Tribolium castaneum: one gene and its partner. The protein of the gene in region 1 interacts with the protein of each later gene in a pairwise test. Links are inferred from orthologs where the notes say so. Each region holds a gene or a part of one and is shown on either strand. Other genes may lie near its edges. The genes, in order: CenB1A and Rab35.

Region 1 (4,432 bases):
TAGAAAATGTGATTTTTATATAATTTAGCCATTTGCAATATACAGGTGAAAAATGTACAATTTTTTTATCTTCTTAAATGCATATTGCATACACATTGCATACCTAGGAGTTTGATAAATAAATTTTTCTAATAATAATTGAACTCGTTATTTTGACCTTTTCCCGGCGCATCCACCAAAAGTTGCTTAGCATTTTCCGAACTTCGCCACATTGTCAATGTCACTGCTATGTCCATTTGACCTGATATGAGTGTATTGGTGCGGTTTCCCGAAAATTTACATGAGAAAAGCCCTAACTAGAAAATTTTCCGGGTCAAAGCTTGGGTACTGGCGCCCCAGCGCGAAATTTGCGAACCTTGTGCAATGAAAATATTTTTCAGACGCGTTTTCCATCGTCAGAAATCCGGTGATGTTTCGAAAGAAGGCCAGATGAGTCCTGACTCTTTTAAAGAAATCGAGTCTTTAAAGGAGGAAATCGATAGTTTGAAAACTGCACTAAATACACTCAAAATTGACTTGGAAAATAGGGACGGCAAGCTGGGGAAACTAGCAAGGGAAAAGGAAAAACTGTCGCTGAGTCTCGCTAAAATGAAACGCTCGAACGACAACCTCGCGCGCCAGCTCGAAGACGAGCGAGATTTCTACTACAAGGAGAAGGAAACCTACTGCCACGAAATGAACGAGTTCAAAAAGCTCAAAAAGGCGCTAAGTAACTCGACCCTGGGCGAGCCACCCGACCACAAAGAAGTGGAAAAGCTGCGAAAGACGCTCGAGCAAACGCTCCAAACCAACTATAATCTAAGTGTTAAATTCCTACGCATGAAGGAGACCAAAAACCAGCTCGCGATCTTGCTCCAGAAAGCGGAAGACAACCACCGACGGGTACTAGCTCCCAGTTAATTCCTCTTGATTAAACATTGCCACAGGTAGTCAGCGACCTTAAAACCAAAATCGAGACCCTCACCGCCGAACTGAAACAAATCCTCGACATGAAATTCGCAGCCCCGTTGTCCCCAAGCAACAAAAAGTACCTACAAGTCAGTCGAACTAGCCCATTTTTGAGCGAGCTAACCCGTCATTTGCAGCTCGTGAACCAGAACAGCTCGCTGGTTTACGAAAACTTGCACCTGCAGATGCAGGTCGATCATTTGAGCGTGAAACGGCGGCATAAAAGCGAGGGCACGATCGTGAAAATTTACGAAAGGGAGAAGCGCTCCGATATTCCAACTGTGACAATTTTAAACGAGAAGGAAATCGGTCTGAGGTCCGAACGCAAGATCCAGCTCCCGGTCATCAACGACTCCAAACTTGAGGTCTTCCAAGTCTCGGACTTGGACAGTGCGGAGTCGGTGAAAGTCAAGAAGCGGAGCCGCTCAGCACCGAGAGTCATCCAAAGTGTTAATAAATAGTACAAAGAGCGTGGCATTTTGAATTTCCCCTCCACTTTTGTCCCGACTGGCAACCCAAACGCGAAACTCCCTAGACTCCAGACGCGCTTAAACACCGCAAGGGTGTGCTTTCGTTAACGTTTTACCCTAATTATAGTCCGATAAACCAAGCTAAAGATGGTTTGCTCGTGATAACAACGAATTAAGCTTTGAAACGCGTAAAATCGCTGCTGGTTCGCGGGGTCACGTTGGCAGCCCGCGCTTTTGACGTTTGACGTCCACAATAATAAAGAAAGTGGGTTGTCTGAGAGTTGATGACTCAAAATAAGTGTTATGACCGCTTAATTAGTTAGTTTGTGGCCATGGTGGGTAAAATCGACCCGGAAGAGTGCCTGCGTGATTCCCCCAAGTTCAGGTTTGTGGTGTCCCCAAACCGCCAAACACCAATTATCGCTTGCAGGAGTCTTCTGGAGGAGGAGGAGGCCAGTGTTGATCAGCTGGAACAGAAGCTGGAGAAGATCCTGAAAGTATGTGGGACGATGGTCGATTCGGGCAAAACATATGTGGCCCAACAAAGGTTTGAGTTAATTGGTGAATCATGCCGTTTAATTACACACTTCTCAGTTTGTTTGCGAACAGTTTGTGGGAGTTGAGCGCGCATTTTCGTGAGGATTCCGCTGTTCTGGCCTCGCTTAATAAGTTGATTCAGAGCTTGCAAGAAATGAACAAGTTCCATACTATCCTTCTGGACCAAGCCTCAAGAACCATACTTAAGAATCTCACGTCGTTTATCAAAAAGTTAGTAGTGCTGGGTCCGGATTTTGGGTTGGCAACACTGAATTTAATTAGTTTTTGGGGTTTGCAATGCCTTTTTCTGGGCGTTTTTTATCCAGTTTCAAGGATTTAAATTAATGATTTTTTTCTTATCACGTTTATAAACTTTATATGCGTTTTTTCGGTGCATTTTTGTATGTTTTTTTGACAAAAACTTTATTATTTTGGAGAGTTTCGTCACAAGTGAGTCAAAAGATAGATAAATTTGGTCGAAAATGGTACTATTTTTACTTTTTTCAAGTACCTAAGCATATTTTTGAACCTTAAACTCATCTAGACTAAATTCTGTAAAAATTTCGTATATTTCTGCTTTTTTCGAGCGTTTTAGTATTTGTCATAGTCAATTGTGTGGAATTTTTTTTCACAAATATACTGAAAAATTATTAAATGAAGTCGAAAAATACGTGTTACTTCGAGGAATTTGGAAAAAATAAACTGAGTTTTTTTTTTAATTAGATTCATTTTCACGAGCGGAAATATATTACTAATTCTTTTATCTTTGTTATTTTTGTGAACTTTAGCACATTTTTCAATAAAAATCGCAATTATTTTGAGAATTTGCGTCAAAATAATGCCGTAATAGGTCGAAAATGTTTTTTTCAATGTAAAAAACAATTAAACAGTAATTGGTTGCTTTTAAATGTCATGTAATTGTCTTTTTCTATGGTTGAAAATGATATTATTTGTGTCTTTTTGGAGTGTTTTAAAATATTTTACGGATTAAAAAAATACGAAAAATTACCGAATAAGTTTGAAAACATGATACTTTTGTCTTTTCCAAGCTAAAAACGTCGGTTTTTGAGCAAAATGCTTCGCTAGAACTGGAACAAAAATTAATTCAAAAAGACATTTTTTTCAAGATCTCTTACCATTTTTTTTAATTGCGAAATTTTGACAGTCAGTTCCTTTCCGAGATTTTGCTAAAATTTCTATCAAAGAAATGAACAAAAAATCAACAATAATTTGTTTAATTTGTTATTTTTATTTTATTTCTTCACAGAGTTATATTTATTGCTTAATTTAGCCGTTTGAGGTAAAAACAGGCGCAAAACTTGAATAATTGTAAAAACCTAAAATCCGGACTTGATAAGAGCGTCGTAAAGTAACAATCGTTTTCAGTGACATAAAAACCGTTCGCGATTATAAGCAACACTTTGAGAAAATCTCTTCCGAATTTGACAACGTTTTAGTGCGCAATTCGCAAACTCCCAGAAGCAAACAGCAGGAAGTTGAGGAAATGCAGAATGTTTTATTGGCGGTACGGTCCTGTTTCGGGCACCAGGCCCTCGATTACGTCAACAGTATTAGTTTGCTTCAGACGAAAAAACGGCACGAGATTTTGAGCACGGTATTAATTACATGGTCAATTTTTTCTTTAGTAATTAATTTTTTTGATTAGTTGTTATCATATATGCACGCCTGTACGGCTTATTACCACCAAGGTTCCGATCTGTGTGCCGACTTGGAGCCGTTTTTCAAAGAATTGGCCGATGAGGTTTTTTCTAAAAATGTCCCTTCTTGTATTAATTTAGCCGCTTTAGATCGCCGATATGCGCGAGGAAACCACAACCGTTGAAAAAGAATTAGAGAACAGACACGCTTCTGTTAATAATATTGAAATAATTACACCGAAAATCGGGAAAAATTTGCCTAGGATGGAAGGTTATTTGTTTAAAAGGACCTCGAATGCTTTCAAGACTTGGAACCGGCGTTGGTTTTACCTCTATGACAATAAATTAGTTTATAGGTACTAATTTTTATTTATTTTTTTGGCGATTTTTGGGTTTGACAATTTTTAGGAAACGATCTGGTGAAGAGGCTGAGACTGTGATGGAGGACGATTTGCGTCTTTGTACCGTTAAACCGGTCCTAGATGGGGAGAGGCGGTTTTGTTTTGAGGTTTTGTCACCGTCTAAGTAATTGTTTTTTTGTGTTTTTTTTTCCAAATTAATATTTTTCCTAGGAGTCATATGCTCCAAGCCGACTCTAAGGAAATGTACGAAGCTTGGATTGCTGCGCTTCAAAAGGGCATAGGTGCAGCTTTTCAACGCATACATAGTATTGAATGTAGTAATAATGCCAGTGGGCAATCGAATCATTCTAACGACGAACAAAGCGGACATTCCGTCGCCAATTACAATAATAATAAAATTAAGAAAATAAGGTAGGTTGAAAAGTAATGAATTGGACAATTTTTATTTTTTTATTTA
Region 2 (2,910 bases), on another chromosome or scaffold:
GTGTTGTAATTTTTCAGTTCACGAAAAACTTCGAGCTGATCAACTACTCGTCCCACGGTACATTTGTGAACAACGTGCTGTTTTCAAACGACACCAATACCGAACGCCCCAAACAGTGTGAAGGAAAAATCGTTCCGTTGGAAGTCCAAGTGCGTGAAATCATTGATAGAAGACGAAAAGTAGTCCGCCAACGAAAAAACTCGTTTGAAGCGAAAATGACAGCAATAGATAACATGGATACGATGGAATGTTGTTGTACAAATGTTGGTGAATCATCATCACGTATAGGATGGGAAGGATCGGCAATTTTAAACCACGGAAGTCTTTTAAGGTTCGGATGTGTCTCGTTCGTATTTTCGATCGTCGATTGTGCGGCATAAAAAACTCACTCACAACAAAGATACATTTTTACTTGATGATTTGAATACAACATACATGATACAAACATACGATCTGTACAAAAATATGAAATAAATGCAGAATTGTGGATGTTTTTTAAAAGAGAGCGCAACAAGTAAGGACTGGAAGTAAAACGGCTATAAAATAAATACAATTCTTGTTTATATTATACATTATATACAGGGTATTCAGCCGGAGTGTGGCTTTAAGGAAGCACCTTAGGAACGAACAACATGCCTTGAACACCCTCTGCCAACTAACAGCACTTTTTCTTCCCCTGTTTGTTGCTCTTCCTCAGGTTCACCGTCTCGTTCTGCGTGATGTTCTGCCGCTCTTTCATCTCCTGCTTCGACCGGAGCACCAGTCTCGTAATCGCCATGAACATCTCCTCCACATTCACATTGTCTTTGGCTGAGGTTTCAAACAGTTGAATGTTCATCGTGTCGGCGAAACGTTGCGCATCTTCAGTCAACACCACCTTCCTGTCCGGCGTATCGTTCTTATTACCCACTAAAACTCTATTAACTACATCACAATTTTGCTCGATTTCATGCAGCCATCTCTTGACGTTAGCGAACGACTCCCCGTTCGTAACGTCGTACACCACGATCACGCCATGCGTGCCCCTGTAGTAGGTGCTCGTGATCGTGCGAAAGCGCTCCTGTCCCGCCGTATCCCAGATCTGGAGCTTCACCTTCTGCCCGTCCAGACTCACAGTCTTGATCTTGAAATCCACACCGATCGTCGTTATGTAACTGCCCGAAAACGTGTTATCGGCGAAGCGCAACAACAACGAACTCTTGCCCACGCCTAAAACGGCCAGTTTTCCCTAATTAAGAGGAAAACAGCCACAACCCCGCCCACACTTACCACTATCGCCGATTATCAACAGCTTGAATAAATGGTCGTAATCGCGGGCCATTTTCGCCGATTCTGCTACAACACCGCCTCAACTAGGCTTCGATAGCATTAATTTCGCTTTATTTGACACGGAAATCATTAAAAACACCGAATTCTAATGGGATGAGTTGTGACAGGTGACGTTCGCTTTCCCCCAAACGCGCACCAATCGCACCACAAAAAAACACCAAACCGTCACTTTATTATCACTATTAATTGATCACAGTGCCAGCCAAACGGCGGCACTGAGCCCTTATCCAAGATTATGTACGAAAATCCGCCCTAATAATTAACAAAACCCTAATAAACCCAGCAATTTGGTGATTAAATTTTGGGTTGGCGGCGCTGTCGCCAAATTCAAAAATGTCAAAATTCGCCTAACCTAAAACCTGCCCGAAAATGCGGCTTTTGCGGCCTTTCCGCGCCTTGAAAGCCTTCCGGCGCCAGTTATCGACCATCGAGCCGGTGAAACTGGCGTACGCCTCTTACGAGAGCACGAATTCGCCCAGTGACCACGACCCGGCCCCCTTGATAGTCAACCATGGCCTGTTCGGCTCCAAGTCGAATTGGAACAGTTTGTGCAAAGTGTACCACAATAAGACCAACCGCAAGGTCATCGCAGTCGATGCGCGCAACCACGGCGACAGCCCCCATACGCAACAGCACACCTACGAGCACCTAGCGCTCGATTTGCGCGAGCTTTTGACGCAGCTCAAGTTCGAAAAGGCGGCCTTTTTGGGGCACTCGATGGGCGGCCGTGCTGTGATGTATTTGGCTTTGAAATACGTATGTTGTGGGTTTGTTTCGGGTGCTTAAAGGCTTGTAGCCTGAACTTGTAGATAAATTAATCGTGGCGGACATTTCCCCAGTCACCACGAGCCCCAATTTGAAGACAATGCCGGGCCTTTTTAACGTTATGCAAAATTTAAACATGCCCAAAAATGTGTCAATGTCAGTGGCGAGGTCGCAGACTGATTTACAATTGGCTAGGTTTATTGGTGATAAGGGGTTGAGGAATTTTCTGTTGACGAATTTGGTGCAGAAATTGGACGGCAGGTGAGGCAAGCAATAAATTCACAGCCAAAAAATGTGTTTTAGTTACATGTGGAGAATAAATATACCGACTTTAATGGCCAGTTTTGAAGAAATTGCCACTTTTCCCCCCATTAATAAATACAAATTTGAGGGGCCTGTCCTATTTGTAGGGGGCGGAGCGTCTGATTATATACAGTGAGTATGGTTTTGAAATTCGGTTGGCAACGCGTCAATGTTGCCAACTTGATTGTTTTGGCAGGAAAAGTGACCACGAACAGATACTGAAGTTATTCCCCAAGGCCCAGTTTCAGTACATAGAAGGAGCAGGTCATTGGTTACACAGTGAAAAACCGTCGGAGTTCCTCCAACACACAGTCGACTTTTTAAATAAATAAATAAATAAATGGACCGAACTTAATCAGTCAATGGTATATTTTATAAATAAATGCACAATTTAGAACACATTTAAATTTATCACATTCCTAATGAAACAAGTGTTTAAACCCCTAGAAATCATTACCTGATTTTTTCGCTGCACGTTGTTTGTTGTGCAACAAACACATCTAATTTATTGCG

What was found.
Region 2: the proteins of CenB1A (region 1) and Rab35 interact in a two-hybrid assay, tested with the Caenorhabditis elegans proteins (2 studies listed by BioGRID). The link is inferred for Tribolium castaneum from reciprocal best matches to the Caenorhabditis elegans genes cnt-1 and rab-35.

Annotation. Positions count from the first base shown.
Region 1 is NC_087395.1:24,776,663-24,781,094, forward strand, and holds the start of CenB1A (arf-GAP with coiled-coil, ANK repeat and PH domain-containing protein 2), read left to right. Parts: upstream 1-1,495; 5' UTR 1,496-1,750; coding exon 1,751-1,803; intron 1,804-1,848; coding exon 1,849-1,965; intron 1,966-2,012; coding exon 2,013-2,186; intron 2,187-3,341; coding exon 3,342-3,570; intron 3,571-3,621; coding exon 3,622-3,717; intron 3,718-3,763; coding exon 3,764-3,969; intron 3,970-4,021; coding exon 4,022-4,138; intron 4,139-4,185; coding exon 4,186-4,386; intron 4,387-4,432. Other genes in the region: coiled-coil domain-containing protein 39, read left to right, coding at 430-882, 927-1,037, 1,086-1,409. UniProt on the Caenorhabditis elegans protein: GTPase-activating protein for the ADP ribosylation factor family. Regulates endosome recycling downstream of rab-10 and upstream of arf-6.
Region 2 is NC_087401.1:17,021,557-17,024,466, forward strand, and holds Rab35 (ras-related protein Rab-35), read right to left. Parts: upstream 1,455-2,910; 5' UTR 1,322-1,454; coding exon 1,270-1,321; intron 1,210-1,269; coding exon 656-1,209; 3' UTR 542-655; downstream 1-541. Other genes in the region: PHD finger protein 12, read left to right, coding at 18-380; sn-1-specific diacylglycerol lipase ABHD11, read left to right, coding at 1,699-2,085, 2,126-2,355, 2,398-2,529, 2,594-2,729.